Drosophila melanogaster: one gene and its partner. The protein of the gene in region 1 interacts with the protein of each later gene in a pairwise test. Each region holds a gene or a part of one and is shown on either strand. Other genes may lie near its edges.

Evidence for each region.
Region 2: the proteins of CG34149 (region 1) and Ravus interact in a two-hybrid assay, tested with the Drosophila melanogaster proteins (one large-scale study listed by BioGRID).

What each region holds. Positions count from the first base shown.
Region 1 is NT_033777.3:22,372,673-22,389,484, forward strand, and holds CG34149 (uncharacterized protein), read left to right. Parts: upstream 1-7,455; 5' UTR 7,456-7,494; coding exon 7,495-7,529; intron 7,530-7,583; coding exon 7,584-8,466; 3' UTR 8,467-8,581; downstream 8,582-16,812. Other genes in the region: CG7069 (uncharacterized protein), read left to right, coding at 565-2,799; CG18596 (uncharacterized protein), read left to right, coding at 3,363-4,532, 4,589-5,238, 5,297-5,482, 5,545-6,108, 6,172-6,693, 6,762-6,932, 6,994-7,141; CG43342 (uncharacterized protein), read left to right, coding at 8,757-8,852, 8,913-9,359; Gpdh3 (Glycerol-3-phosphate dehydrogenase 3), read left to right, coding at 9,553-9,596, 9,658-9,832, 9,891-10,470, 10,533-10,686, 10,740-10,832, 10,887-13,755; CAH8 (carbonic anhydrase 8), read right to left, coding at 13,932-14,318, 14,387-14,649, 14,707-14,904, 15,660-15,723.
Region 2 is NT_033777.3:13,250,540-13,267,428, reverse strand, and holds Ravus (ravus), read left to right. Parts: upstream 1-3,367; 5' UTR 3,368-3,430; coding exon 3,431-3,462; intron 3,463-3,522; coding exon 3,523-4,570; 3' UTR 4,571-4,696; downstream 4,697-16,889. Other genes in the region: Su(var)3-7 (suppressor of variegation 3-7), read right to left, coding at 1-641, 697-1,041, 1,110-1,694, 2,129-2,913; CG11686 (uncharacterized protein), read right to left, coding at 5,308-5,391, 5,659-5,787.

The DNA of each region.
Region 1 (16,812 bases):
ACCATTGTTGAATAATAGAGATTTCTTCGAAAATTATAATAAAGTCATCACTGTATTTATGTACGTATGGAAAGTAATGTGCCATTTTCTCCTTATACTTGGAACCTTTGGGTATTAGGTCTGCATGTACGAGATCCACATCCAGTTCCCTATAGGCAATTGATTTTATTCGTTTTTGACAGGTAACACTACATTTTATTTTTGTTTCGGTGTATCAAAATTTATTCAAAATTCATCCATACGCAAGAATCCTTAGTCCAGGGTCCACAGTGCCCATATGTTCCACTTGCCTGTTAAACCTAAGATATCGCTGCTATGCCAGCAAATGCAAGAAAGAGAAGGTAGGACGTTGTTACGTTGGGAGTCAATCATCCGCTTATGAATTCTTTCCAGAAACCACCGAAGTTCCGACTGGACCGCGGACCATTCGCCTCCCAGTTGGATTACCAGTCGCGACTGCAGTACCAAGCACCTGCCCTGAGTATCCCCCTCAGCAGCATCATATGCACCATTGGACCCTCATCCAACAGCCCAGAAAAGCTATTGGAGCTCATCCGGGCTGGGATGCGGGTCGTGCGTATGAACTTCTCTCACGGCTCTCACGAGTATCACTGCCAGACAATACAGGCGGCTCGTAAGGCCATCGCCATGTACGTGGAGCAAACGGGTCTGCCCAGAACATTGGCAATTGCTCTGGACACCAAGGGTCCAGAGATCCGGACGGGCAAACTGGCCGGTGGCAATGATAGGGCTGAGATAGAGCTCAAGACCGGAGACAAAGTGACATTGAGCACCAAGAAGGAGATGGCAGACAAGAGTAACAAGGATAATATCTATGTGGATTATCAGAGGCTACCTCAACTGGTCAAACCAGGAAATCGGGTATTTGTAGACGACGGATTGATTGCATTGATCGTGAAGGAATCAAAGGGAGATGAAGTGATCTGTCAGGTGGAGAACGGTGGCAAGCTGGGCTCCCACAAGGGAATCAATTTGCCAGGAGTTCCGGTAGATCTTCCCAGCGTAACGGAGAAGGATAAGCAGGATCTTAAATTTGGGGCCGAGCAAAAGGTGGACATGATCTTCGCATCGTTCATACGAGACGCAAATGCTCTGAAGGAAATCCGCCAAGTACTTGGACCGGCTGGAGCGTGTATAAAGATCATCTCTAAGATTGAAAACCACCAAGGTCTGGTAAACATAGACGACATTATCCGTGAATCAGATGGCATAATGGTGGCCCGAGGTGATATGGGCATTGAGATACCCACGGAGGATGTTCCCCTAGCCCAGAAATCGATTGTGGCTAAGTGCAACAAGGTGGGCAAGCCTGTGATCTGTGCCACCCAGATGATGGAGTCGATGACGAACAAGCCGCGACCCACTCGTGCCGAAGCCTCGGATGTGGCCAACGCTATTTTCGATGGCTGCGATGCCGTAATGCTGTCCGGTGAAACGGCCAAGGGCAAGTATCCGGTGGAGTGCGTCCAGTGCATGGCCAGGATCTGTGCCAAAGTAGAAGCAGTTCTATGGTACGAAAGCCTGCAGAACAGCCTTAAAAGGGAAATCCGGACCAGTGCTGCCGACCACATTTCGGCAGTTACCACGGCGATCGCGGAGGCGGCCACGGTGGGCCAAGCCCGGGCAATTGTGGTGGCCAGTCCGTGCTCCATGGTGGCCCAAATGGTCAGTCACATGAGGCCGCCATGTCCAATTGTCATGCTCACGGGTAACGAATCCGAGGCGGCCCAGTCTCTGCTCTTTCGCGGCATCTACCCACTCCTCGTTGAGGAAATGGTTATTGGCAGCTTTAACTTTCGACGCATCATGCAGTCGGGCCTGAAGCTGATGGGCAAGATGGACATCTTGGAGCCGGGTCAGAAAGGATCGGTGGTGCTGGTTAATGCCATGTCGGCAGAAAAGATCACCTTCCGGCTGTTCACTATCCGTCAGCAGACCAAGGAAGAACGCGATCAGGATGAGCGATGCCGAAAATTGGCCCTAGAGCAGAGCTGCAAGGAGAGGGCTGAAAAGGAGGAATGCAGAAAGCTCCAGCAAGCGGAAGAATGTCAGAAGCAAAAACTGGCCAAAAAATGTAAACAGTTCGAAGAGAAGCAAAAGGTCTGCCCCAAAAAGAATGATACTCCGAAGAATGATTGTCCGAAGAAAGATTGTCCGAAGAAAGAATGTCCCAAGCAAGATGACGAAATCTCAAAGTGCAGGCAAATGCAAGAAGCGGAAGCTGAAGAAAGGAAGTGCAAAGAAGAGTTTGAACAGATGTGCAAATTAGCTGAAGAAAAAAGGAAAGAAGCTGAAAAATGCAGGAAAGCGGACGAAGAACGAAGGAAAGAGGAAGCTGAAAAGTGCAGGAAATTGGAAGAAGATAGGAAATGCAAATTGGCTGAAGAGAAGAAAAGGAATGAAGAAGAACTTAAGATAATAGAAGCAGAAGTGGCCAAACTGGAAGCTGCTGAGAAGGCCAAGCGTTTGAAGGAGGAAGAGAAAAAGAAGGAAGAACTAATGAAGTGCAAGCAACGAAATGAAGCGAAAAAAAAGAGGGAAGAGGCTGAAAGGTGCAAGAGAAAGGAAAGAGAAAGGGAGCTAGCTGAAATGGAAAACAAATGGAAACAGGTTGCGGAGAAAAGAAAGAGAAAGAAGGCAGCAGAGATGTGCAGGAAAATAGAGGATGCAAAAGAAAAAGCCGCGGCAGAATCGGCTGATAAGATTCTGAAAGCTGTGTGCGAAAAACTAAAGCAATCTCTCTCGGATCCGGACAAATCAAAAAAGGGCAAGAAATAAAGTGAAAGCTAATGGCAGATTTATATGGAACATTTTAACTTTTAATACGGTGTTACACACCGAATTCCAAATTATTATATAAAACTATTGGAATTTTTTAAATTTTCTAGTAAAACAATGTAAAGAACGCTATTGTCGAGTTATTTGACTATAGGCGCGAACGGAAAATTTTCAAATTTGGGCATATCGATAAATATTGGAAAATACACATTTGCTTATCGGTTCTTTGAAAAGTAATAATTTCATACCTGCTAACCAAATTAAACTATGTCATTATGCACGTTCACACCTCCACTGATAAGATCGAAGTCATTGTAATCATTGGACATCACCTCTAAAAGTCATATTTTATAGAGTCAACTTTTCGAAATTAATCGCCTACAATTGATTTCACCACATGATGAAGATAATGAAATATTCGATATTAATCGTATGCAAGTGATTTCACCACATGATGAGGAATGGCGAAATTCTAATTCTCCCAGCTGCTTGATGTTGACAGTATTTAAACCAAACAAAGGGTTAGTTTAGAGGGTTCTTCATCGCGAGAAAAAGGTACTACCATGTCATTGCCCACGACCAGAGCCACCACGGCCACGACCACTCACGCTGTGGTCCAGGCTGTGGAAACGTATATTCAGAACCAGAATTTGCTTGGCGAGATCGCTGAGCTGGACGACATGCTGTACGATTTGGTGTCCATGCACAAAGACAACGAGCTGGCCCTGAAGCGTGTGCTGCAGTGCATCCACAACCTGTTGCAGACGAACAGCAAGTATAACGTCCGCTTTGGCCCAAAAGTTTTTCACAAACTGGTCTCCGTGGTGATTGCCGACAGTCGTGAGGATTCGGCCAGCCGGCGTCAACTGGTGGCCAATTTACTGGTCTGCGTGCAGCTTCATATACGGAAGTTTCCGCGTATCGAAGCCAAGTTCGTGCTGCAGCAGCTCTGGTCGCTGAGTCAGAGCAATGAGCGGCAACCACATGCGGCCCAGATCCTGGTACACCTTTTCGATGATTTCGTCAACAACTTGGGAACGGAATGCGCCCAGGAACTGCTTGTGCTAACGCGGAATCTTCTACAGTCTGATGTGCGCGATGATCGACGCTCAGCGTATTTTCTTATGCACAAGCTGCAGGAGATCGACGAAGTGCTTGCCGCTCTCCAGTGCAGTGAGGTTCAGTGGAGCGCGTATGTGGGCATCATGGAGAACCTCGAGGAGCAGCAGTCCCATCTTGTGCTGCCCACTTTAAGCACCCTGCTGCCGCGCATGGGCCTGATGTCTAACAATTTGAGTGAGGATTGGCTGGATTGGCTAAGGATTCTGTGCATACGCCTCCTGGGCGACAACAACATCCTCGTGTTGCGCTGGACCCTGAAGTACTTCCTATCCCATTTTAGCCTAGAACAGATATCGCGTTTCAATCTTCTAACACAATTCCTTGCTGCTACCAATCGGACGCAATTGTACAATCCAGAGGTGCCCGATTGCCTCACTAAGCAGCAAATAACTGATTTTAGTGCACAATTCCCGGCAGAGATATTGCTGGAAGCGCTTGTCTGCGTTCCGTGGCATGCAGTTCCCCTGATCCACTGGCTTCAAGCATGGGAGCTAAAGCAGCTGCCGGTGGTTTCCAAGGAGCTGCTGTTTAAGTTGGGCGCTCGCGTTCGTTCCCTCCAAAATCCGGTTTTGCGTGGTGAAGCCATCAATTATGTGATTTTCTCCTTAAGTGTAAGTTTAACTTATATAGAAGTTTTAACAATTTTTTGACTTTAATCCCATTAAAGGCGACGATTGACAGCCTGTCATTGGGAGATTACCTCCTCTTCATGGAGTCTTTGTACAATACCATCGACCGGTATCAATCTCATTCACAACTAGCACAGAAAATAAGAAATTGCAGCAATTTAGAAAAACATATTGCTAGTTTCAACATTCGTTGCTGTGAACTTGTATCTCAAATGGACTATAAACACGATGTATTTGTTGCGTTCTTGGAGAAATTACGAACAGTTCCAAAATCCAAACATGGCTGGTGGCGACTTTTACCCATATTTCTGCATCGGGAACTGGATCATCCAGAACAGTATTTAGATTTCTATCGCTCTGTCTATGATTTAGATACATCTTTTCTTGAAAGTGGTGTGAGTCTAGAGCAGATGCAGCAGCACCTTCTTAATCGATTGGATTGCCAGACCAGAGAAGAGAAGTCCTTTGTGCTCGAGCACTCTGTGGATCTTTTCGTACAGATAAATCTTCCAACGTGGAGCAAGTTAGAAGTACTTAACCTAAATCCCCTGGAACTTTTGGATCGGGGTACTGAAGAAACATTTGCCACCTTGTCGAATATATTGTCCACGCATGATGAACAATTGGCTGACCAAAATGTATTGCCCGCCTTTATATCCCGTTTGGGAAAACTAAAGGTCAGGGAAACGTGAGTAATATATTCGCTATATTTTTGTAAGTCAAGTTATTAATTCATTGATTCCCAGACAAGCCATCCTAAAATATGCAGTGCAAAATCTTTCGTCAGAAGAGTATGAAAAGTGCGTAGTGGACGTTTTGGAGAAAAACACCTTTCTTTTGGGTACAATGGACTGTGAAGAATATATTAAGGCACCCACCTCGTTTGTTATAAAAAGAATGCTGCAGGGAGAAACCACTACTGGCGATGCACGGCAAGAGAATAAATATTTTTTTCGTGAAATTACTATATACAACGTTAATAATAACTCCGCAGCATTGAACGCGCATTTGAGCAAATCTCGGATACTGGAGCCATGGATCGTGTGCAATTTATTCAATATGCGAAGAACAGCACTGGTTTGGATATCAGCTTCATCTGTGACGATTTGCTTAGAATGAACAATGAGCTGTCCAGAAAAAAACCACGCTATTTTGCAAACTGCAAAGAGCACAGAATGAAAATGCGAATAGGCAAAGCTTTGCTCGACCTAAGCGACAGATGGAAGTGGTCGGACAACCTGTGGGAAGCCGTCTTGTGCCCTAGCGATCAGCCTAACATTAGCTTTATGTACGAGTACCTTGTCTCCAAAATGCTGCCAAGCATCGATCTATTGCTGGAGCAGTTAAAGCTACTGGCAACTCTAAAACCGAGCCAGCAAATTTCGCTTGTCTCTGTAGTCCACATATACTGCTTGACTCGCTGGGAAAGCATACAACATGAACAGCTTGTCGAAGTATTTGCCGTCCTGTTGCCTCTCACAATGGGAGCAAATTTTCAGACTCGTTTGCTGGCCCAATTGGTTTTGCATCGGATTTGTAGCGAGTGCGAGGATCGAAGGTAATGAAATTAGTATTATATACTACTTGTTGCCGAATTTTATTAATATTTTGATATTTTTAGCATTCAAATGCCAATAGCTGATGCATTGAAGAAATCCATCAAGGTTACATTGAGCGAAAAATTAACTGAGTTTCAGTGCGAAGCTCGACTTTTGTTACCAGAACTAGGCAAACAATGCCCGACATCCGTTTCGGATTGCATTCTGATGATGACGAATGCACCATTTGATGAAAACATCAGTTTTATTAGTTGTTCCTATGACTTTCGAATGAAACTAAAGCGCGCCCTTGAAACGTTTAAACGGAAACAATCGGTTTTGATACCTGAGCTTGCAACGTCCTTGGCTGCATTAAACGGAAATGTGCAGCGAAAAATGAATCCCGTCGGAGATATATATCCGGAGAGTGACTTTGTTGTTTCGAACAAAGCTAGAGATGACCACGAACTCATTGTGGTGGCCTCGCTCATAGACAAATTGCCAAATCTGGGCGGATTGGCGCGTACCTGTGAAGTTCTGGGCGTTAATACCCTAATATTGGGTTTAAAATCACAGGCGGAGAAAAGCGATTTTACAAACTTGAGGTATGCACGTCAAACATCGCGGTAGCCCTATTATATTGCTTTATATAATTATAATTATATTATTTTAGCATGACTGCTGAGAAAACTTTAAACATACTTGAAGTGAATCCAGAATCGCTTGCTGGATTTCTGCTGGAAAAGCAAATGGAGGGTTATAAAATCGTTGGCGCCGAGCAAACTGCACACAGCACAAACTTTGTTGACTTTAAGTTTCCCAAGAAAAGCATTCTTCTTTTGGGGTTCGTAATCAACATCTTGGGCGTATTTTTTGAAAACTTATTGTTCTGCATCCCTCCTCAGGCATGAAAAACATGGAATACCAGCGAACCTTATTGGATTCTTGGACTACGCCGTCGAAATTCCCCAGTATGGCTTAGTGCGCTCTCTAAATGTACATGTGGCTGGATCACTATTTATTTGGGAATATTGTAAGCAGCACTTAAATTAAATTCATAATTTGACCACCAACAAATGCCTTTAACAAATAAAGTAAATACCTAAAAATATTGTACAAATGTTACTATATAAATGTTTTGTGTTGTATATATCTTAAAAAAAATACACCCAAAATAAATTACCTATATAAACTTAATTGTACTAGCTATTAGTATTATTTCTATTTTTTTAAATGTGTTTGTTTGCCTTCGGTGAATTAATCGAAGTAAATATAATTCATTCTCTTAAAGTTTCGCGCCTTGTTATCGATAACCAGTATTTACCGATGACGCTTGCCTGAAACAGCTGATCCTATAATCACAACATCACAACAAACCCATTGTAAACAACTTCGAAAAGACGAAAATGAGCTTCTCGGAAAACACCTCCGATTCTGAATGGTAAGTCCTTGAGGCCGGAAACTCTCAAATTCTATACGAATGCTTCGCTTATAGGAAGACAGACAAAATGCTAAAGGCGCGGACTGCTAAGAAATCTTTAAAGCTGGACAAGGAGCACAGAACTCTGAAACCTAAATATAACCAGAAGTTCTGCGAAAAGTGGCTCAAGATTTTCGATCCATGGCTCCGACGGGCGGCCGAGGATCCTAACAAGCCATTCTGCCGCGCTTGCCAGTGCACCATGGACTGCAATCGATGCCACCTGGTGCGGCACGAGCGAACCACCAAGCACAAGCGCAATCTGGAGGCTCTGCTCACAAAGGGCGAAGGCGCGGCGGTCCAGGAGTTCCGGATTCGCCAGCAGCGTAGCAAGTACTATCACCAGCGTAAATTGGTAGTGATGGAGCCCTTGGCTGAGAACCACGAGTTGGAGCCGCCTTCCACTCCAGAGCCTATGCCCGTGATGGCCATTGCTGATCAAAGCCTCTGTTCTGCAGCCAGTGAGAAGGTGACAGTACCCAAACAGGAGTTCTTATCAGAGACAGAGGTCACAACAAAGATGACCGAACCCCCGTCAAGCCATGCCAATTGCAGTGACAGCTCCTCTTCTGCCTCTAAGCAGGAGGGCATAAAGTTACTAATGCAGATCCACCAGGACAAAAACGAACTCATGGAATCCTTCCGCGAGCTGATGGGAAGCCAGAGGACCCTAAGTCACACACCGCCGCCCAAGGAGAAGAATCATGTGGATCTGTTTTTCGAAAGCGTCAGTTCCAGCGTGAAAGCCCTCTCGCCAAAGTTGGTAGCGGAAGCCAAGATGCGAGTATCGCAGCTGATCTGTGAGCTCGAGCTTCGCGGCCTCAGTGAAACCAGCCAAACGGACGCACTGAATCCAAACCCTCAAGCTAATGAATCGCTCGCACTGCGCCCATCATGACAATCCCTTGTCCTTCAGCATGAATTTAGAGGCATACATTAATTTTAAATTTAAAAATAAATGTTATCGATTTTTATAAGATCAATGCAAATATACTTTATTTGTTAGATATACGAATCAAACTATTCAAAATAGGTGCGAGAAATGGTATCGGACTGTTTATCGATAGGCTAGAGGCTACTGCTACTGCCATCTCCAAAGCGCGGCTGTGTTTTCTTCCAATGTTTATTAAATTTGAAGCAGCTAATGCAATTTAAAGGCTTAAGTGACAAAATATTCATAACATAAGAATGTGGAACACTTCAAATGTGTATGATGAAACGACCTCTGAAAATGGCGACAACGAAGAGCAGAAAGCTTCATACATTAAAGAAGATCATATAGAGGTATAATTACTAAGTTGCCCTTAAATTTACAAATATTTAAACGAAATTATGCATTTGCAGACCGAGAGGAAAAGTTTGCTACTCATCAAACGGAACAACGTAGCCCTACAGAAAAGACAGCTACCCTACTCAAGGCCAACGCCGCAGAACCGCCAGGAACTTGTCGAGAGCATCGAACAAGACCGTAAAGTGCTGTCGGCGTACTTCAAAAGGTTGAGCTCCCAGCGAGATGAAGTCACTTCACCAAATGCAGCTCCACCGGCGGCTGATTCCCCTGTTCCTCAGAGAAACAGCTACGATCTTTTCTTTGAGAGCGCCTGCATCAGTGTCAAAGGCTTGCCACCCAAACTGGCGGCGGAAGCCAAGAGCCGCATCTCCCAGATAATCACCGAGTTCGAAATCCGCGCCATATCAGAAATGGAGGCCCAGCAGGAGCACAAAATGCGGGCCCAGAACAGAATGGATAATGCGTCCGGGGTTGTTTACGAGTTTCGTCCCTGCTCGTAAAGTAGGTTGGGTGTTTGCCTTTCAACTACCTTAACTCATCCTATACACTTCACATTTGGACGCCACCTAACTCTGGACTATCAAAATTCATAATAAAAATTTAAAGCATTCTACATCCAGTTAACACTTAGGCGGTCATTTGGTCGCGTTTCGGCCCTAAATTATTGTTGTTCGTTAATTTAAAGTTGGATCAATGGCCGGAAAGTTGAAAATATGCATCATTGGGGCTGAGGGCTGGTAAGTTCTTTCAATTACCAAGTCTAAAACACATTTAACTGCTTTCAAATGGCTTTTCTAGGGGCTCGGCCATTGCCGCCGTCGTGAGCAACAATGTCTTGGAGGGAGACTTCGACAGCCGGGTGCATTTATATGTCTACGATGAAATGATTCGGGACACTGCCCTATCGGAGATCATAAACACTCGTCACGAGAATGTCAAGTATCTGCCTGGGATCAAGCTGCCCAATAACCTGGTAAGGAAATTCTTGCAGTGTTTTGGTATCTGCATTATACAAAATATTTTTGTATTAGATCGCTGTAAATGATCTTTTGGAAGCTGCCCAGAACGCAGATATCTTGGTATTTTCCACCCCGCTGGAGTTCGTGCAATCCTACTGCAACATTCTGTCTGGTAATGTTAAGGAGTCGGCCTTTGCTGTTTCCATGACCAAAGGATTGTTGAGCGAGAATGGGGAGGGGATTGAGCTTGTTTCGCACGCCATTAGCGAGAGTCTGGGTATCCCGTGCTACTCTATGATGTCTGCACATAGTGCCATGGAGATGGCACAGGGAAAGCTGTGTGAGGTGACCATCGGTTGCAGCGATAATTCTCATTCCAAGCTGCTGATCTCTGCTATGCAAACCAATAACTGCAGAGTTATTTCTGTTAATGACGTTGACGGAGTAGAGCTGTGTGGAACGCTCACAGACGTCGTTGCCTTGGGAGCGGGTTTCATAGATGGTCTGCGTCTGGGTGAGAATGCACGGTTGGCAGCCATCCACTTGGGTGTCAAGGAAATTATGCGGTTCATTAAGACGTTCTTTCCTTCCTCCAAAATGTCCACATTCTATGAGAGCTGTGGCGTAACCAACGCGGTGGCTTCCAGCTTTGGTATGTACAAAGAAAAATGAATCAATTAATAAGTGTATAATATCAACTGCGCTAATTTAAAGTCGATAAAAACGTCACATTTGCAAAGAGCCTAGTAACATCAGGCCAAACCATTGAAGAAATAGAAGCAAACCTCCATAGTGGCCGCAAGCTTTTGGGTCCCATGGTGGCCAGTAATGTGAATGCATTTTTGGAGAATGGGCTTATGCAACACGAGTACGTATAAACTAGATTTTAAGACCCTAATAAACATACTTCTAAAACTATAGATTTCCGCTTTTCACGGCCATCCATCTTATATGCCAAAGTGAGGCTCCGCCGGAACTGATGATAGAGGCACTGAGAAACCACCCGGATCTAAGGTAAGAGATTTTAATGTTCAAATTACCCTTAACTCATCATTACTCCTTTTACAGCAGTTCATCCATTTCACATTTACTGAACCATGAAAGGGACGAGCTAAAAACGGACCAAGGCCTTCCCGAACTGAGGACTGCTTTAGATAAGATATTGACGGAGGCGGGGAACGAAAACATTAAGCAGCTCAAGGTTATGGACGATTGGACAGAAGTAAACGATTACGACGTCGAGGAGACGTACCATGAAAAAGTGGCATCACGAGATTCCTGTCTTGAGACCGAAATTATGCCAAGCCGTCTGAGCGTGCAAGCTGCACAGCTCTATAATGACATCCGGGATGGGAATGTTGGGGTGGCCTTTAAAATGGACATCGATGAAGGCAATCGCCAAGTGCGGCTCTTGCTAGAGAAGGAAGACGAAATGGCTAGCGATGCAGCCTTGACAGTTATTTCATCAAGATTGACTGCGGGCCAAGAGGATGACAATGCCAGGATAGGCCACGGACACATAACGAACACTTCCGCGGAATCCGATCATATGTCCAGCAAAAGCATTCCCAGTGGCTTGACTACGAAGGATTCGCCTGATGTCCTGGATTTGAGTTGCGAATCTGAGCCACTACATTCGTCAAAACAAAATAGCCAGCTGATGGAAGATGCGGAGACAAATTTCACGGAGCGTTTAAAAGTGAATCAACTTAAAGAGCAGATTGATAAACAAGAAGCGGCCAATTTTAAAGCCCAAGAAAATCTTATAAAATCTATAAGACAAACAATTCAGGCTCTCGGTGATAAAGAAAAAATGGAAAACCTTATCGCAAAAAGCAAAATGGAGGAGGACCCCTTCCAACTGAAAAGCCAAGTTGAGTCTTCGCAACTGAAGAGCCAAGTTGAAGGGGAGTCTTCGGAACTGAAAAACCAAATACAAGAGGAAGCTTATGAACCTATAAGTCAAGCAGATGAGGAACCATCCCAAATTAGAAGCCAACTAGATGAGGAATCTGCTCAGCTAAAAAGTCTAATGGACGAAGAAAATAGACAACTTGAAAGCGAAATGCAAGACGAGAGTAGCCTATTGAAAAGTTCAGCAGATAAATCCGAATTTGTTGCATACAACGCGGAAGAAGAGCAACCCATTGAAGAACCAACAGATAACCATCAGTATAAATTAAGATCAGATACTAATAAGCTTAAAGAACTTATGTTCACCGATTCCAGGGAGCACTTGGAGTCCGAGAAGCACATTGAAGTGAAACTTCAAGACGAACATGACTTTGATCTGGATGAGGAGCCAGCTATAGGAAAAAAAGACCCTACTTACACTAAAGAGAACTTGGAGCTCCAGGAGAGGCTCGAGTGGCAAAAGCTAAAGCAAACAGATAAACCCCACCATCCTTATTCTTCAGCGGATCTTGAAGATTCAACTACCAATGAAGGTAACGCCAGGCTTCCGATAGAGCATGACAATAGATTCCAGAATGTGGATAGGTATCAGGATAGAGAACTTGTTCAAGTAAGAGCTGAGTTGAAAGAGACTAGCGGAGCCGAGAGCGAAAAGGAGATCAACTTGATTAGCGAGCAAAGGCCGGATCAAAACCAAGATGAGGTCAACTTGCGCCCCCATAGCCATATCAAGACGGAAGAAACTGGCCATCACGAGTGGGATTGGCTAATGAACAATGAAAAGATCGATTCCGACGAGCAAAAGTTTTATGCCAACGAGAGGATGGAAACACTTAGCGAATCTGACCAGGATAAGTTGCAGAATCTTAATTATCAACTAAAAGAAGCCTTGCAGCATGATTTGGATGTGATGTCCGCAAGCAGGGGTAATGATTCAAATGAGGTGCTGTCCGAGGAGGACTCTAATCCAGAAGCTGCTAAGAAAATTACGGAGCAACCACTTAACCCCACTCCAAACCAAATCCCCGCAGTCCCCTTGCCAGTAACAATGCCTAGTAAACAATCACATATCCGCGAGGGCAGTCCACAGTTCCAGAATCAACCTAGATCTGTTCCACCACCCTCGCCACAAACAAAACCACAGTCGCCAAAGGAACAGCAGCCTCGCCGCACAAATGCGCCCGTCGAATTTGGAAACAAGGACGAAGCCATGGATCTAAATGAGTCAGCTTCTGATCAAGAGGTACCTAAGCGTAAAAAGATTTCGAAAACTGAGGCCGTGATTGAACCAGTCGCTAAGGATGTCTCCATGGCCGAGCCAAATGAGTCGTTACATTCTAAAAAGGAAACTTCACCAGCTAGTTTGAGTAAGCAGGAAAGCAAAAGGAAGCAAAAAAGGAGCTTAAGGAGACCATCTAGTGATTCTGATAGCACTAAGACAACGAACGAATTCGAGAAGCAACGTCAGATTATAGAAAACCAGAAGGCACAGCTGGAAAAAATGGGTAAGAAGATCAGCGTTATGCGGCAGGGTCAGGATCGTCGGGTTAGCTACAAGGGTCATAACCCCTACAGCGCTGACCCGGATCTGGAGTCTAGGCCACCGATGGACACCAGCTTCGAAAAGGACAGAACGGGGGATTACCAGGGACTGGGCCATCAGCGTCGCAAAGTAGTCGTGGCGCCGCCCTTTCATCCGCCTATCAATCCACGAGTACGCGTGCCGCGACCACCTTTCGATGGACGGGATCATGAGTTCCATACGATGACTACCGCGCCAGTGGACAGACACCTTGCTCCGGCAGCTAAGTGGTCGTCTTTGCCCACGACTCTGAAGCTGAATCGCAACTCCCTGGTTGCCAACATACAGGTCAAGCACTTTGCCGCTCTGCCCTGTCAGGCGTTGCCGAAACCCATATTAAAGTTGCCGATGGGAGTGCCACGCACGCCCACGTTTTCAAAGATCCTCTGCGCCTTGCAGTTGGGATTGCTGGCCTCCTACCTCGCTTGCAGGAAGGACTAAGTCCTAGATTAGTAGCTCGGCTTTTCGATTCCCCCAATAGCAGCATGATCAGCATCAGCATCAGAAGCATGATATAGAATACTTTACTTTTTTAAAAAATAAATGGTGTTAGATTCAATCTAAATAAAGGGTGTTCGAATTCATTTACATAGAGGGTGTTAGATTTAATCTAATGGCTATAGCCATATCAGTTCTTGGAGATGCTCCTGCTGCAGCGGCACTATATGTTGACGGTGAAATATCAGTCGATTCTCCTGCGATTGTAGTGGCCGGAAATTCTTTAGCAACGGCCGACCGCGCTCATCTCGGAGGTTCCAGAATTTGGGCAGATCCTGGTGCGAAATGGGAAGGACCTCACCGAACACGTGCCACTGAACCACCGGTGAGCATGGTGGCGTCGTTAGGGAGCCCTTGTACGTGTAAAAGTTTCCCCTGTCAAGAGATCCCAGCAAGGATCCCAGGGTGAGCCGTTCCTGCACAGTGTAGCTGGCATTAAAGTTGCCCAAATGGAGGAGGGAACTAAAGATTTCACTGAGTCCGGGCTGATAAAAGAATGGCCCCGACTAAAAAGTGAATTGGTAAATCGGTAAGTAGAGCGGTAAAGTTAAGCAAATCCCGCATCTCTACTTACTCGAACAACCTTAAAGAGCACCGCCAGTACTGTAACGCCATCGCTGTACTTAACAGCCTCCTCCAAGTTTAAATACTTTGTGTTCCGATGGACTATGTGCATTTCCAGATCAAAGCGGCGTCCATTGAGCAGGTGCTCCGAGCCCTTGCTCTCGGGGGATCCCCAATGGAAATGCACGGCCTCGGCATCGTAGCAGTCCCGCAAGAGACCTCCTGTTACGTAGGGCTTCACGCCATAGATCGTCGTCGGAACCTTAAATTCCACTATCAACGGAAATGGATTAGTTTTCCCTTTCACTTGGAAGTCCGTCTTATAAAAACCTGTGTGTCCACTATTCCTAATTGTCACCAGCTCATCGAAGAACTCATCATAAAGTGCGAAAATCAGAGGCGGCAAGTTAAGGGGTATCGCCTTGCGTCTGCTAATCGCAATGGGCGACTGTTCTGATCCACCACAATTTGGGTATTTTTCCGGCCACCTCTCCGGGGATTTGTAGTCGAAATCAGTCGATCTGAAATCTGTAACAAAGTTATATAAGTCTTTACAATTCCCACACATTCTTGATTTATCTTGGGCGAGCTTCTCCATATTTGACGAAATACCCAAGAGCATCCACCACCAATGGACGTGGTCACTTTGCAAAACCATTAGGAAGGCCGTTGGAGCAATTTCTGCACTTGCCAATTTCCCAAAACGTCTTCGCAATTTCAGCTATTTCGCAGAGCCTACGGATTATGTCTAAGCGTAGCATAATTGCTTGATTTTGGGTCCGGACCATGGAAACCTCCTTTTGTTTACATTGTTCCGAGCGATGGATCGCACACGCCGCTCTTATAACAATGGATGGTACTTCGACATCTACTCCGCCCCCGAAATTGACGCGCTCATTGGGTTTCATGGGGCATTTGTGGATGCAAATTTAATTATTGTTATTATTTACAGCCACCGGGTTGTTTGCTATCCATTAGATGAACCGCGATGAGACAGCTATATGGGCGTCGAGTGTGACATATGAGGGTTCGGTTCGGTTCGGTTCGGATTGGTTTAGTTCGGTTCAGCCGGAGGGGATGGCTCATAAATTCCCGTACGGGCAAAGGCTACGCAATAGGTGAATAGGTTGGTTCCGGGTCGAAAAATCTCAAGATCTGGGGCACGTTGTCTGGGGACGACGATCAGTCTGCTATCGATGGCGTCTCAATACCAAGGTGATCCACAGTTGTATCGTATTTCGTTGGATGCGACACACCTCACTGGCTTGCATTTCGGTACTCACTTGCGGCGAACGGCAGCAGAAACAGAAGACGCTGATAGAAGTCATCAAGAGCCGGAAGATGCATTTTCCACCTGATCACTCGCTATACACTACTACAGGCTATAGGAGTTGTCTTCGCCAATCTAGTCCAAATACGCTCCACACAGTAACCCCTGACCGAAGACCGAAGATTTCCAAGCGCGCGTAGCTCTGCAGACTGAACCACGATCGGCTTAGGCCAAAACCTTTATACCAAAGGGCCACAGTCTGGGCTTTGGTTTGGCTTCCGTCTCCGTCTCGTGGACTGGGAGAGCCACATTGTCAAACGCTCCACGGAGCAGCAATAGATGGTAATCTCGACTCGAAGTTGTCATACCCGCTACGCGTACTGCTGTCTGAGCACCGTTACCCCGAAATTAAAAACTATAATTGAAAAACTTGGTTCGATGGGGACAAATGCAGATTACACAAATTGAAGTTGAAATTCCTTGGCATAACTTAACCCGTCTATGGTATAATATCTAGGTTCTGCAAGTTCCATTTATAAGGCGTTTTATTTATATAACGGAGAAAGGAAAAGTTTATTCATATATTTAGGTTCCAAATAAAGTACTTCATACTTTAACATTGTTTAATAACTTAATATTGCGTATATAGGTAAGTTTGGACATATTTGAAAGTTTAAAATACCCTGCATCTTTTTTGGTTACAATATTTTAAAATATTTCAAATGTTTTTTTTTTTATTAAAACGCAAGTAAATCGTGTTTGCTTTGATCTCTGCTTATGACATCCTCTTGTAAGTCAGATACGCGGCTCTTTGGTTGGTTCTTGAATTACATGTTAATTTTGTAAGCCTGGCTTAGAAAGGTAAGCAGACTGCAGACTCTTGAGATCCAGTTTCTCAGTTTTCGTCAGTTGCAGCTGCAGAATTGAAAAAGTTTTTATTATCTAAAAGACATACCGCACAATAAAAAAAAATATAGAACATGGCTCGTACATACGTTTATGTTTTACTTATACAATGCGAACTTGAAACAGCTTTCAGGTGAGTTTATTTAATAAATCAGCTAAATTTAAAAACGAATTGTCGAAAGGAGCGTGTCAGACGATTATCTTCATCGAAATGAAGATGAACACTGTAATGGCAAATTTTAAAAAAGAAATTAGCCAAA
Region 2 (16,889 bases), 9.1 Mb from region 1:
TTTCACCTGAGTTTTTGTTCGATGTTTTCAAAGGGTTGCCACCATTGCGCTTTCGATCAATGCGGAGGCGTATGTGTCGGGAAGTCCTCTGGTGCTTGGAGGCCCACTTGGATGAGGGCAGGTAGAGAGACACTTCGCACAGCTTGCACCAAGCATAGTTTCCACGCTGCTCGTTCTTTTTGTAGGAGAGCCACGGGAAGCGGCCCTTCCACACCATAACCTTGCCCTTCATGGTTGCCGGAATGGGCTTGACAAAAAGCTTATTGTCCGCTCGAGCAGTCTTTCTTGCCTGCACGGTGCCCAAGTCGAAGTTGCTTTGGGAATCTTCTTCTGCGTCCTCCTCTTCTTCTCCATATTCCTCGTCCTGTTCCTGTGATTCTTCATCATCCTGCGCATTATGTTTAGTTTGCGTGTTTGTGCCCTGGTGCAGTTTCGCTTGCCGCATTTTGAACTGCTTTACCAGCTTTACATGCCGGGCACTCAACTCATGCCGCGCCTTTGCCGCTTCGTTGTGAAAGCGCACGCGGCAGAATTTGCAAATCTGAGTCTTTCGGTCCTTGGAGTAGCAAAGCCACGGGTAAAAACGTACCCCAGCGCGAACCGTGGCCTTTCTTGGCTCGCTAGAGGACTTATGAGCAAAACTATACGAAATTATTATTATTAAAGTAAAAATTAAAAATATTTTAAGCAACATACCCTTTTCCGAGTTTTTGGATCTCGGACCAATTGTCATCGTCATTATCTTCGCTGTCATCGGTCTGCGATGACTGGGCTTGATCACTTGCCGCCGCTTCCTCTTCATCCATGTTATCGCCGCCTCTGCCGTCAGCCGAACCAACTTCGATGCCTGCCTTGGCGCTGGCCAAAGCCAAGGTATGCTTCTCGGATTTTTCGTGATTCTTGCGCTTGATCTCTGAGTTTCCATACATGAATCGCTTGCGACAGACGCTGCAGTACCCAATGCTGGGGTCTTCGGGATCAGCAATCAACCAAGGATGCATGTCGGCGAACACGGCCCAAATGCCGCGAATATCTGAAGAGCTGAGGTAAAAAAGTGAAAGCAGTTAAAGAACAGGTGCTATTTACGTTCTGTAGGAGTGTCAACTCACCCCTTTTCAGCGGGTGTCGATAGCATGTGACAATGAGCTCTGGTTTTACAGTGCCGTAGGAAGCTGGTAATCGCCATTGTGCAGTTGCAGAGCGTACATCGGCATTGCTGTGGATTGGTGTCCGGAATCAGTGCACACCACTTGCCAGGGTCGTCGCCTGAGTCCACATCGCCGTTCATCATAACCACAGGGGTGTCCTGAGCATCCTCCGGCCCAACTTCTGGTTCAGATTCCTTCTCTCGCTCGGCCTCATCCCCGCCGCTATTGGTCACGCTGTTGCTCTTGCTCCTCTTTCGCTTCCGACTCCGCTTATCGGAATCTAGGTTGCGCAGTGCCTCCATGTGACCTTTGGTGGTTTCGTGGCGCTTGCGCAAATAGACAAACTCCACGTTCATTCGCACGCTGCAGATGCGACATGTCCCGATGGTCCCTGTGGGCATGGAACGTTCAAGCCAAGGATGCCAACGGAGCCAACGCAGCCAGTTGAAGTTGTTAAATGCCTCGGTCTCGGAGATTCGTTTTTGCTTCATGGCGGCCACATAGCTCTTGGTGCCGAATTCGTGCTTGATTTCGTTGTCGCTGATTCTACGGATAATTGGGAGTTAATAAGTGTTCGCAAACTTTCGGTGATCTCAATATGATTTCGGTATTTCGTTTTTTAAAGGTGCAAATCTTACTAACATTACGAGTAGAGCTACCCTCATTGAAAGCAGGGAGTGTAATATATGTAAAATCTATTCTGAACCGCGACCAAGCCTATCATACACCAGTTTCTTTGTGTCAAACAATTGCTACACGTTGGAAAATTAATGCGGACTCGGAGCAGTGCTCCCTTCATTAAGTTGGCAGTTTTTTTCACACTACAGTGGGCTTTCTGGATTTCGGTACAAACCCTTTACAAAGTGAAAGGCATTTGAAGAGTTGAGCTTTTACTTTATACGGCGGATTAATTAACTTGATTTCTCCGAATTTTAGATTTCTGTACTCTTTTTTGTAATCTTTAAAACTGTGACACTTACGCTCCTCGAGTTTCCTCCTCACTTTTCTTGAATGCCAGATAGTTGCACTCGCGTTCCTGGTGGGAGAGCGACACGTTGTGCTGTTGGATGTGTCTAGAGCGGTTGTTCACGTTAATGGATATGTTGCAGTAAAGGCAGAACGCTAAGGTGCCATCGGAGTCCTCGTGTAGGATCCAGGGCCAACGCTTCATCCAGAGGAGCCAGCGCTGTGCGCGGGGCATCTTGCGGCGCATGCCTCCGTCAACGCCACCGCCATTGCTGCTTTCGTCATCCTCGTCGTCGTCATCCTGGCTGTCTCCCGGATCATGGATTTCAATCCTCTCCAGCAGGCCCATGGGATCGTGGTACGAATGGGAGCTCTCCGCATCGCTGGAGGGTTCAGTTTTAGTGGACATGGCATCGGGTTCACGTTCCTGGTCTTCCAGGAGGGGATCCTCGCTGGCCTGTTTGTCGTCTGGGTTATTTAGAGCGGACTGTAGCTCGGCCACCAATGGAGCATGTTCGTCATCCATGATGTCCTCAATACACGGGTCATCCCGCATCGGGTGCTTGTCCTCCTCCACCACCATGGCCACATCCCCATCGTCATCATCCACCACGATGACCATGGAGGTCTCCACTTCCTCGATGTGATCCGGATCCACCAGAGCACCACCCTCTACGTCCATAATTTTCAGCTCGTGCGTTGCCGACGCTAAAGTTTCTGAATTTGCAGACGCCATTTTGAGGTCTGGGTTGCATTGAGCATCTAGGTTTTTCGCCTGCATGCTCGAATCCCGATCCATCACGAGATACTGGTTATCCAGGCACTTTGCTCTAATATTTGTTAGCTTTTGGGAGATCACAGTATACGGTTATAAACTAAAAAAATAAAAATAATCGCAAGCGAAAACTCAGAATCGCTGTCAAGGCGATGGCCAATGTGACCGTACTGTTGCATTAAACCGGCGGGCTAAGGACCATATACTAAGGAAGTTCAAAAAATACATAAAATGCAACTGAGGGACTGGACTGGTCACTTTATTGAGAACGGTCTTAAAACGTACTGTTCATAGTATAACTGCAATTATTTATTTAATAACTACATGAACATTATGCTTAGAAAGCATATAAAGAAATTACATGCATTAGCATATGATTCATATATCGTTGAATATTTAAAATAAAGTGTGTAGAAACAAACAACCGGTGTGGGTGACAACTCTTACAGCATGTGCAAAACGGGTTATGCGGTATTTCTATGCATGTGCGCACGGTCATACCTCACTGGATTTTGTTTATATTTTGGAAAAGACTACCCAAATGTCAAACCTCCAGTTAACTCAGGAAAAACTGTGAGTATACCAAAGTAAGAGACCAGGGTCTTATGTTCACTGACTATATTCGCCGCCCAGAGATGCCCTACGCTCCGAATACAGGCCACGCCGGCCGTGCGCCCTGCTGAAATATCCTCGACCCAAGACAAAGCCGGAGTACCAGGCGATATATCCGTGGTTGCTCCCGGATGAGACGGATCCGCACTTCGTGTTCTGCGCGGTGTGCGAGTGCAGGCTCAGCTGCAAGAGATCTGATCTGGGAAAGCACGAGGGTAGCATTAAGCACTCGGAAAATGCACAAAGAAAATCATTGCCAGCCAAGGCAAACAATTCGAGCTTCAATGGATCCAGCTCCGGTGCGATGAAGTGGGAGGATACCGAGGACGAGGAGGGTCTACTACAATACGGAACAGATCCCCAAGACGACGAGACAGAAGATGAGGAGGAGGGAGAACTTGACGAAACAGAGGGCGACTGCGAGGACGATGAGAAGCGGACTCAAGAACTGGAAGCACAAAATGATCTCGAAACGGAGCCCGTCATTAAGCAGCAGCGCCGCACTTCGGAGACCGACTCACAGAATTCTGGCATGCTGGATTATCTGCCACTACACGTGACCATCAACGAGGGGCCTCAAAGTCTTCCGACCACTGTCTCCGCCTATCCCACATCCTCAGCAACAGCAACAGTAGCTCCGCCATGCAGGATCACCATTAAAAAAGTTCCAGTGCACAGTACTCCACTCAGTGGGATGTGCCAAGCTCAGGAGATCAATTCCAAGGCCACCATAACGCCTATACACACGACGCCCTCCTATGCTGCCCGCCCGCTGCAATCTTATCAACTGCAACCATTGTCACCTATAACGCCACCGCGCGACTCATTGGAGCTGTTCTTCGACAGCATATGTGCCACCGTCAAGAACTTGCCGCCCAAACTGGCCACCGAGGGTAAGATCCGGGTAATGCAGCTCATTGGGGAGCTCGAGTTGCGTGCTCTTTGCGAACAGGAGGCGCTCTCTGAGGTCGCCGGACTTCCGGATCTCGCGGGAAACTCCAGGTCTGGAGCAGCTGAAGCCTCAGGCAGTGGTCAGCAGAATGCGACAGTGGCTTCTACCACCAAATAAATTCACCTGGACTTTGGAATCGGTTCCAAACCGTGCTCAATACGGCAATTAGAATATATGCTAGTGCTTTCATTTTTTAATTTTGTTAACTGATTTTCATTAATAAAGTTATTTATTAGTTGTTGTAGTGTGGCGTGCATTTATTCTTTAAATCTATCTGATGGTGTTTTTGTTCTATGAAATGGCTTCATTACATTTCATCCGTTTAGAAATTTAAGTGCCCAATAAATGGGCTCATTAAGGTATTAGGTTCGCTTTAATATTTCACTAACTGCATTTCAAAAAGTGTTTTCCTGACCTTGGTTTGCCAGCAAAGTATAAATTGTGAATTTTCTCAGAGAATGATATCACGGAAGAGCTGTAATCAATGGAAACCACTTCTTGTGTGTGGGTAACAATTGTGATTTACTTATTGTGAATGATACAAAGCGAATTCTCTGAAGGGTAAATATTACGCATGTACAATACCATGTGATAAAAAGTTTATCGCATGATAGTTTAATGTATGTTCTGTAGGTAAAGATAGTAAAAATCACTCCATCAGGCGAATTTATCAACTGTAACGAACAAACAACATGTAATATCAGATTGAATCAATCAGAATCAATCAATTGAAAAAATGCCAGTAATTATAAATATAAGTTAATAAATCTTTATTTGTAAAATTGTAAAAAATGATTGAAAACAAGAGTTATCAGTAAGGCACTTAGTTAATTGATATTGGGGAAATATCCCCCTTAAAAAGCTTGCTTGCCCTCTAACATGGCTTTCCCGCAGTAGAACGGGAACTGGACTCCCTGGAGCAGAATGTCCGATATGCCCTGCGAAAGTAAGAAAACAAATCGGTTAGCAATGTTTTTCCAGGCAATGGGTGTGGGTGGGTCTACATATCGGGGCCAGCTATCGCGGTTTCCCATAAGCTCCGGTTGTGGGTCTGATAAGTTCCCCAAATGACTAATGGGTTAAACATCTTGACGGCGCGATAAGGAAAGTGCCTCATGCAACCAGCAGGTGAAGCAGGTAAATTGACTCACCCCGCCATATAACTTCAAATGCTGCTCCCCAAAATAGAAAAAAAACCCACTTACCGTCAGGGCGGGAATGCAGGAGGCAAATGCGTAGACCCAGATGTAGAAAAAGGCGCAGAAGAATGCCACGAAGAAGGAGACGAACCAGAAGACCAGCAGCCAGAAGACGAACCACAGTGGATTTGGCATCGTGATGAGTGGTGTTGTTTGTTCAGAGCGATTTCAGCTGTGCGATAAGATAAATACAAGGGATCTTATTAGTGGAAAGATCCATAAAAAACTGAAGCTTATCAGTCGTCTTCTTAATAGAGCATATCTCATTAAAAACTTCAAGACTTGGAGCTTGCTCGAGCATAAAACTAATTTCTGCATTTCGTATATTTTTAATAAGCAAAACACATGTCATTAATTTGATATGCGCCTTAAAAAAGTGACCTCATAATATTTTTAATGAGCTAACAAATTAAATCTTGCATTTCGATAGAACACGATTCTGATAAACCCCACCTAATTAAAAGAGCTTCTAAAACGTCACTTCTATTTCTAAATCATTTTTTCCATCGCTGTATCAACGTTCCCATTTAAGATAGTGAATGTCAAGTTATTCGAGCAAGTAAATCCTTCAGTAAACCCCATTTGTGTTTGCATACCACACTCATTTATAAATAGTTTTTAGTCATATGCAATTTCAAATTATATATTATATAAGTAGACCTTGAGTTAGGCCTTTGAAGATTACTGAAGTTTGAATTTTAGTTAATATCTTCCTTCACTATAAAATGATTAAATATTCGGCTTTCTCCTAAAAATACTTTTTCACTTTTTAGAAAATATTATTAAAATATGCATACACTCAGGTTTTACCACCGAAAAATGCATTTGAATGGCTTTCTTCTGCATTTAGATTTCACTTTTGGGTCGTGACAAACATACTAACGACCGATTTGGCTCGGTTTTGAGACTGATTTTAGAAACACTGACGTCAAAACTGATTGTGACCAAAATAAGGCAAAAATAAGGCAGAGTATGAGGTCGAGGCCTCGACCGCCGATTTCGAGCCGAATTCCACGATCAAGTGGTGATTATAGTACTCTCAAAACAAGTGTCGTCATTATGCAAATCACAATGCTAGCGAGCACTGCACTTGACGGGGTGTGTCGTCTTAAGTCATCGCCCATCTTAAGTCATCATAAAAACAATTGCAGATCGCCCACAAACCGGTTGGCGAAATTAGCACACGGTGAAATTCGGATTAATTAGACCAGCCGAATCTGAAGTATGCGCCAATTAATAGGCGTACGCCAACTATGCGTAAGTATTTTATAAATACTGTATACCACGCACCCACGTATTTAAGATCGAAAACAACTTAATAGCCGAATGCCAGGCAGCCAAAGGAAACAATAACAAACCAAGTAGACGATCGGATCGGAGGTCGACGTCCGGGGGATTCGAGAATGGAATGAAGACTGAGAAGCGCAAACCGGCGCAACAAGTTGCATGCCCACTGCAGGCAGGGTTGTCACCCGTCGCACTGCCGACGCGCACTTTCGAAGGAAAGCTTCGCGAAAAAGCTTTTGGCAGCGAGGGCCGATCTGAGAGTTAAGCAAAGTATTTATTGGGTTACTAAGGTTAGTTAAAAGAGAACTCAATCTTTTTAAACCAAATACATAGATAGTCTTTGTGTAAGTAGTATTTGTGTAGACAGTATTTGTGTAGATATTATTTGTGTGAAAAAAATAAACATTTTTTCGAAACAACAGTCAATAACAGTGAACACAAAAGGTACGGAAAATATTAATACAATTTTATTAAACTAATTTTATTACATTTGTCGTTATCATTCGTTTATACTATGCTTCCATCGAAACAATGTTTAATGAAATTTCTTCTCCCAATTCTTAAATTACAATACTAGCAAGAAAGCAAAGAAAAAACATTTAAAGTTCGTACACATTGTGAATGCCCTTATCAGCGGAACTTATCAGTCAAATGTTTGGCCATTCCGTTTATGCCTTTTGGCGCTTATCTTAGCCACTGCCGCATTCGGTTTCCCGGCCAGCAATCAATCGACGCTAAGAATAAAAACTTGGCCAACCTCAGCTTCGTTTTGGGAAAGCTCTTCGTGCCGCAAGAAGCTTTATGCGGCTGCTTGTCAATGTTTTCATATCAAATTTCCTATAATATATCACCCCCCCATTTCACCGTCCATATGATGGTGTGTGTGTAGCCAAAAAGTTGTTCATCCCGGACGCCGACGCCGCATTTTGCAGCTGTTGTTGTGGTCGGCTGCTGTTTTCTCCGATTCTCCGCATTCTGCTGCGAGTCGTCGGTCACGCTGGTTCCGATTTTCATCCGGTTGAGCTCAACAACAAACTGTAAAATAAATATATACATATACAAAAAATTAAAAAAAAAAAATAATTCAAATATGTTTACAAATCGAAAATATTCCAGACTTTTATCGGCCTAAAAGGAGTTTTAAATCATTGTCCAATTGTGGTGCATACTTTGCGGCGCAAATCAGCTGCCTTTTTATGAGAGTGTGTGTGTGTGTTTGAGAGAGCAAGAGAGCGAGAGCTGACTTTGTATGTGTGTTAAAAGTGTGCGATCGATTTTCGGTTGCCCCACGAAAACAAACAGAATCAAAAATATAAAAAAAAAACTAACAAAAATGTTTAAGACTTTTTAAAAGCTCATTAAGAACTACCAACAATTAAACAAAAATATTTGCTTAACTGGAGGGTCTCTCAAATAAACAAACAACGCGGACCCTTGAGATAATGAAATTTGGTATGGCTCGCTAGAGCAACAACAAATGCGGCAAAATGTCGCAGAAAAAAGTTTCCGATTTTGATTGCGAACAAAAACAAGCTAAAGCTTCAGGCCAAAAATAAAGAGAGAGAGAGAGATGGTATAACAGTCGCTCAAAAGCTGTCGAGAGAGAGGGAGAGAAAAGAGAGAGTGAAAGCATAGTCCCGCTATTTTGCCGAGAGAAATAAAGAGCAGAAAAGCAATGTCCGTTTAAAGTACGCATTGCGATGCCTTTTAGCTTCAGTTTAGCTAGAGACATCGTCGTGTTTTGAACGGCTGACACAGTTTCGGAGTTCAGCGGATCGAGCGGACTACGCCACACTAGTATTCAGTTCAGTGCGCAAAAAAGGCCAAAAGGAAAACCAGAAAAACTTTTAAAATAGGCAGGATAAAAGAAGGCAGACCGTACATCTTTAAAGGGAAACACCATACCCTTTCTGTCCTCAAGCCAGCTCTTTCAAACAAACACACACATACACATACCTGTCATGCATATGGCATAACACGGCCAGAAAAGGAAATTCATTAGTCAGATTCTGTGTGTGATAAAGTGAAGTTTTGGTGCTAAAATCTAGTATTCAACGCAAGCAGCCCTGCACTTTATTTACAGCTTGGAAAATTGGCAAATCAGAGAGTCGGAGAGGTTTTAAACATCAAACATAAACAGAGTCATGTAGTGAGCGACCGAGGACAACAGTTTCAGCGCACAAAGAGGTAAGTTATCTGTTGAAAAAATCAAATTTTTAAATGATAATTGCCTTGCAGAATAATAGCTTTGAATATTTATTACTTAGGTCTATGTCTTTTTCATTTTCATTTTGACTAAATAATATTAAAAGAATATTTTCCTATTTAGAGGATTAGATTCTCCTCCCACGAGAATGTTTATTAATTAAAAATGATGTTTTGGTATTGTCCTAACAAGTGGTATTTAACAATATAATTCAAGTAATAACAATAATGCTGGGGAAAACAAATCAAAATGGAACATCCCCTTAGTGATATTGTTTTGGTTATGGAATTTCTTCTTCGATTTTAGCATTTAACGATTTTTGATGAGCTCAGTGATCCGTGAGGTCCTCAGCTCACACAAATACACGCAAAAAGGGAGAGTGGTAAAGGGAGAACGACAGGATACCCCGGGAAATATACGAGAGAGTCTTACAAATTCATAATTTGTCTGTTTACATACAAGGACCTGGTCCCTGTATTGGTGGTTTATCGAGTGGCGCTGCCTCAATGTCCACCCGCTTGTCCCACCTCCCAACCAATGCCCTCCGTCCTTAATTTCCCTGAACGAAAGCGAAATTATTTTTTTATTTTGGTTTTTTTTTTTTTATTTGTGGGGCACGTAGGCTCCATAACTTCCGCTCGGTCGGCTCACGCGCACACCTGTACCCACTCTCATACACAAACTTATACACACTTTTTGGCAACTCACATCGAGGGCGAGCACATTTAAAATTCTGATGAAAAGACACTTTTACTTTATTCTTTCACTCGCCGGCACACAGGAAAAATTCATGTGATTGTCATTTCCTTGCCGTCTCCAAAAGTGGTCCATGTCACTTTTATGAGCTCATCTCATAGAGTAAAACGGTACATTGTATTCAAAAAAATCATGCTTTCAGACTCCATTAGGTATGCAAAATCGGAAATACATAAAATGCCAATACTTTTAATTTTGAAAATGTAAGAATAGTAACTTCACTCAGTATTTAGTTCAATTCGCACACGTTCTGAATTCTGAATGCTGAGCAGAATTAAGCCTGCCGTTTTTTTCAGTGCATTGGGCATCGCACTTTTTCACATCTTTTGAGTATTGTGTGCCCGAGTGCGTGAGTGCGCTTAATTCGTGTGTGTGTGTAAATATTTTGCTTGATAAACGCTCGACACACACACACTCTCGTCTGTCCTCCGAGTCGCCCACATGTCGCGTAATTCAACTGTCGATTTATCACACTTAACCCGAACACACACTTTACGGTTAGTGTAGTATACTATCATCTACTATCCACCATAATCCGCACATTTCATGCAGCATCATCATCCCATGATCATCACGTCATCATCAACCGGCGGCTTATTAGTTTCAAACGCTGATTAGTTGTCCAGTTTCGTGCGATTGCGTGCTGGGCTCAGATACAGATTCAGATTCACTCCTATTCCGTATTTTGTTTTTGTTTATCATTTTATATAAATTTGCTTAGGCTGGGGGACTATTCACGTACCAGCGCCAAAGATACATCTGTATCTATGCACGAGTATCCATGGGAGCATACAAATGCGAACAACTAGTTTGCTGGGCTTTGGGTGTCTGATATGGTTAGGGTTTCTTTTTTATGGGTCTGTGAACTGCATTCTTGATTGAGATTTATGTTGCATATATGCGCTTTTATTACACAATTATTTTATATTTTGTTACACAGGATTTTTTCTCCAACCACCCGAATGTTAGTTCGCTTTGATTGTAAATTTAATACAAAACATTTTTTCATTCAGTATATTCGCCAGTTTTATTCTTGGTTTTTAATTTATTTTCGTTTCTCGTACAATAAATATCTGGTTTATCTGTTTTTGCAAATCACAGAACCATTTTCGTTAGCTTAATTTACTTTTTAACGAAATTTCAATTTAGCTATGTGACTTTAAAAATAGTTTACAGAGAATGCGCTTTTAACACGGAAAATTGGCAAATACGGGAAAAAGTGTTTAAATACATTGACACGATAAAAAATTTTTTTAATTCCTTAAGGCCATCTTATTTTATCAAATGGCTGCCACACACATAAAAACCATACAAATAAAAACCATACAAACCAAATACAAATGTGTGATATTATTTTTAATAACGAGAGTTATTATGGAACTGGTAAATAAATTTGTTTCTTGATATAAAAAATTCCGGGCAAACGTTGCACTTTCCATTTTGCAATCAGGCATTGCTTAACAATTCAAAAACGCATTTAATGGTCATTAATTCAATTTGTCATTTGTTTGCCTCCAGGAATTAAATATAATATAATAGGATGCCGCTGCTGCGGACTTCCGTTTATCAGTGCTTCATCCATTATCCAACCGAATCCATCAATTCGACGCACAATGCACTCCATTAAGCCGGCCTGCAATTGCCACATCGCTTTGGTGGCGGGGGAAAGTGCAATTTCCCAGTGCCTCGTACATAAAATCAGCTATGCGATGTTAAGTTAATTGAATCAGTTGCAAAAATATGATTAAATCACAAAGGAAACCGACGGGCGTGGGAACTCCGACTCCCGTTCTTTGTGTCGAATTCGAGTTCAGAGGGACTTTGGCATACATAAAGGTCGAGCTCAAAAAACCAAACACACAGAAAGCAAACAAACAAAAAGCGAAGGCGCAATGCTTAAAGCGTAAAACACTTGAGAATTGCTTTACACTTTTCCGTTTTGGGCTTGGATTTTCCGCACGCCGTGCAATTTATGTTTTGTGTATTATTCCACACACACATATACATTTGGCGCGCCGTCAAATAATTCGCTGAACGCTGAAAGCTGAATGCGAAATGGCAGGCAGGATTTTCTTTTATTTTTTTTTGGCAACCAAGGGATTCGTGTTTTGAGTTTCCCTGCAGTCCGTGGGGAGTGCAACGCTTTTCCACTTTGCTCCTTTTTGCATTCCCATTTCACGGAGAATCGACAAACTCATAAAAGTCTTGGATTCGTGTTCCGAGCGGGTAACACGCGAAAATATGCAAATAAAATTCCATAAAACAATGCGAAGGACAAACAAACGAGCATAAAAAGGCAGCCATAAAATTGAAACAAAGGGGACAGTTTTATACCCTCGGCTAATATGAATATTGAATGACGAGCTAAGGGAAGGCCAGAGGAAAATGTTTTTATTATCCGAAGTTTCTTACTCTTAAGAAAGTCCCATTGAGTTTCAAACTCTAGAAATTCTGCATAATTCTCGTTCTAGCTTTTATGAAAATATCACAATACTCTAATAATATCGACTTCTGTTTTTAAGAGTTCTCTAAAGTATTTGGAAACATGACCATCTTACAATGCTATAATATTGTCTTAAAATTATTTAGGTAATATTATAGAAATCATATTATCAGGTCCAAGCATATATTCTAGCTGCCTTCGTATCTCAAAGCTGCCCATATCCTGTCCAACGCATTCGGACTCCATGGATGGGTATGTTTGCACTCGTACGAAGACAAGCACTTGGTAAATGGGTCGTTGCTCGTCCGTTAGAGCAGCATTAAAACGCAATTTTATTGCATATCCTCGGGAGCTTTGGGCCAGCCATCATTGTCTTAAGGGTCCGGCGATGACGATGACGATGGGCGACGACAGACCCGGGCTTCCGAATTGAACCCAAACGAACAGAAGCTCACGCAGCACAAATGGAGGGCAAGGAAAGAGCAAAGTACAGACGGAATACAGACACAAGACCGCAGACAAAAGGCACAAGTTTAGGGGCAACGGGGAATTGTTTAACATTAGTTTTATGCGATCCTTTTATTTGTCTGTGCCTGGGCTACTTTTATGAGTTTTCCTGTGGCCTCTGGCTACGGAATGTCGTGTTTTTCTCTTGGCCATTGCCCGGCGATAATAACGCGATTTGTTTTCTGCTGCAGTGACTGCATGCAGTCCCAATGGATTTTATTGGATTTACTACGCAGAATCGGTTGCAGCAGTATGGTTTAGAATGCAGCGAATGCAATAGGGCTAGAAGCCAAGAGGTAATCATTAGATGTTCTATATTGCAATTCCGTTTCTCAGCCATTATTATTATGAAACACAATTTCAATATTTATTAATATTACACATCTTGAGATATTCAATTTATTGGGTGTATCTTATATGCTTTGAGAAACTTACATAATGCCAATTACTGATCGCTTAAAAAATAGTTGTGTCGTATTTTTATAACCCGTTGGGGAGTTAAATGCGCATCAGTATACGGGAAAATAAGCTTCCACTTTCTGCGCCATTTTTACAGCAGATAATCACTTATAAGCACACACACAGACACCCACATACACGCAGACACACACACACACACGCTTTGAGACCGTGACGTGTACTGGGAATAAGCCGCATGATGTGTGTGTCCGTGTGCGTTAGCCAGCGTGTGTGTGTGTAAGCCCTGCTGCTCTGGGCATTAAAAGTAAACCAGGGTAAAATAAAAGCAAGTGCCAAGTGTGGCGCATGTGCCACTCAAAGGCAAACAAATGCGAAGTTCTGATGTTTCTTGGGGAATACGCGGCGTATGCGCGATTTTAGTGTGATTGTATTCGCCCAGCTTTGCTTGTAAATCGCTCACTGAGGTTTTCGCTGTTGTTATCGCCGGTGATACCAACTTTGGCTTTGCTTTAACATGCACAGATTACCTTTAAATTGCGCTTGCGATTTGAGACAACCTCGCACTGTTGTTAATTTCCAACCATTTTAAATGTCGTAAATAAGTGCGGACGTTTCAAGATTATCAAATAAGCATTACTATGAATTACGAATTATTTGTTATCTAAATACTTTTATAAGGTATACAAATTTTTATATAACTTTTGCCAAACTAATGAGCTTCACATTGTAAAACAAAGCATACGAAATAAATTGAAACGTTAGAGCATAATCAAATCTTAATCATAATTAATGAGATGACTGAATCTTTGATTTTAATATAGATTAATTTATTTTTTTTTTCGATTAACTGCATATGGATATGTTTGCACGTAGCGTGAAATATAATTTATTAATCAACTTAATTGCATGAGCCAGACTAATTGACAAGCGCCGAGTCTACATAAATATTAAATAACTTTGTAATTATTGTAACAAATTACAAATTATTGATGCGAGGTCCAATTAAAATTCAATTTAATTTCCAACGCGTTTTCCGTTTAATTTTTGCATATTGTTATTGTTGCTGTCGTGTGATTGGCGTAATTGTTGCTGTGGCTGCAATTTGGCTGATGCCGCAAATTGAATAACTCAGGCAAGTGCACACGAGCGCACACGCCCAATGTGATATGACCGGTCCCCAGGCCTCAGATCCACTTTCTATGCCCGGACAGGCAACGCTCTGATTATTTGTAATAAGCAGCCCAATTAAAACTCTTACGCTTTTATGAGCATAATTATCGGGGGAGCAACAACGGCAGGGCTTGTTATCAACACAATCATCGCTAGCCCGGCATCAATATTGATTGTTGACGTTGTTTTTGTTGCTCCATTGATGCGTGTTGTTGCCGATGGATGCACCGAGTGCATTATGCAGCTTGAATAGCTCAAATTGAGTCAGAGTTGTGGCAGGGCGCACGGTTCACAGGTCGTATGCGCAACGTGTCCAGGGCATATAAAGGATGCTGATGTTGTTCTTGCGTTTAATTAACCCGCCTGAGGCACATTCTGCTGTTCTGCTGTTCTGCTGGATGGGTCCCTCGGCCTGGATTTTGTGGTCAGGAAATATTCACCATGTATGCAGTCCTTTATGGCCGTGACGTCACTTGCCAGGCTTTCGCATTGTATGCTTGGTTTCGACGGCAATTGGCAGATGGATGGTTGCCCTTTGGCAGTGGCGCCCCAATGGCGAACGCTTTTATTTCTTGCGTCATTTCATATGAAAGCAGCACTCACATTTGACATTTTACAGCATCATCATCGGCATCAGTTGAAAAGGGACGAAGGGATCGAAAAGGACCGGCCGTTAGGACTGGACGTTGAGTATTCATAATCATTCAGTCCATAGAAGCTACTTATACAGCCACAGACCACTGGTCGGATACTTAATATTTAAGCTGATTATTGATATTTGATAATAGTAGCTAAATGGGATCTATATTTTATAAGTTTTATATTTAGTAAGTTTTCTCGTTCTTTTGAGATTATTTATCTTGTTATTGCCATCTTTAAAATTCTATTACCAAATCATATTTCATTTGCTGATTCCACTTCTTTAAGGGTTTTGCATTCTCTCTAGGTTAACGACTCTATATATTTCATAACCAACTGCAAGCTGAAAACACATAAATATGGAGTGAAACTGCCATAAATTCGAGTCGAGACCTGCGGTGCACGTTTTTGGGTCGTGTGCCCCGTACGTGTCCCGGGGACTCCCCAAAACTTGCTCAGGTTACTTAATATACAACTTTTGCCCCAAACACACACACACACAATTGCACACATGTCCTTTCCCGCGCGCGTGTGTGTCTGCGTGAGTGAGTGCTTGTGTGTCGGAGGCAGGAACAGTCAGAAATGGCGGCTTCGCCTGAGTTCAGCTGAGCTGCTGTTGGCTGTTGACTTGCCATTCCCCGATTATTGATTTTTTATTTCGGCTTTAAGTGCAGCACACCCACGGGTAAGCCGAGCAGACCCAAGACATCGACACCAAGGGCAGGGGTCTTGTGTGCTCGAGGACTAGTGCCGTGAGAGCTGGGAGCCCGCCCGAGAGAGATTCGCACATGCCGTGGAGTGCAGGGAGAAAAAACTATCGGCATTAATAAGCAATTAACTATTTTTGTTTACCAAATATCTTTATTTACTTTTGTGGGGCGTTAAGCTTTTTGTTCCCACTTGGAACAATTTTGGGTTAAACATCAAAATATAATAATTAATAATTAATCTTAATCTTAAAAATTTAATTTTCTTAGAAAAATATTCAGATGCACCTCTTCTTATTGTGTTTATATTTACTAAGTTTTTACGGAGGTCCAAAAGTTTGCTATGAATTTCGTCCATGTGTTCTTGAGTATGTAAACGGAATAGGAATACGGCAAGGAGCTGCAGGGGAACTGCTACTGGGATGACGATGGTCACGACGACGTGGCTGCGGTGATATCATCAAGGTCAGTCACACGGTCGCAGGCGGAGGCAAGCGGAGCGCCAACCTGAATAAGTCGCGCTAAATTGAGCGTCTCAGCGTTAACGAGCCCCGGTGACGGGCGAGAGCCACTAAAGCCAAACTCGTGCCCCGGACGTACTGCCGGCGCCACCCAGCCCCCTATCCTCCCACCTCCTGCAGCCCCCAGCTCCCGTTGCCAACTGCTCCATGTCCCATTCCCCTGCCTCTCGGGGGACACTTCAATCGCCGCAGCCGCCACATGCGGCGCCATGCAATAAAAAACTAAGCGCTACTAGCTCTCGGTTTTTTCGTCTCCTGCTGTGCAATTTCCCATTTTAGTGGGTAGTTTTTCCACACACTCTAGCGAGGTATAGAACTTCTGGCACATATCGAAATGAAAATCTTTAATATAGTTCCCATATGCCGAATTTAATAAAGGTGTAGCTTATAGTTTCAGTTACACGTGTGGTATCGTTTCATTTGTGGCTGAATGCTACTTTTGTTTTCAAAAGAAATTTTTTAAAATTATTTGATTTGTGAATTCGAACTTAAAAAATCGTTTCAGATTTAAATATATAAATATTCTTTAAAAGGAAATAATATGATCGCATTAAAATGGAAATTAATTATAATATGTTGTA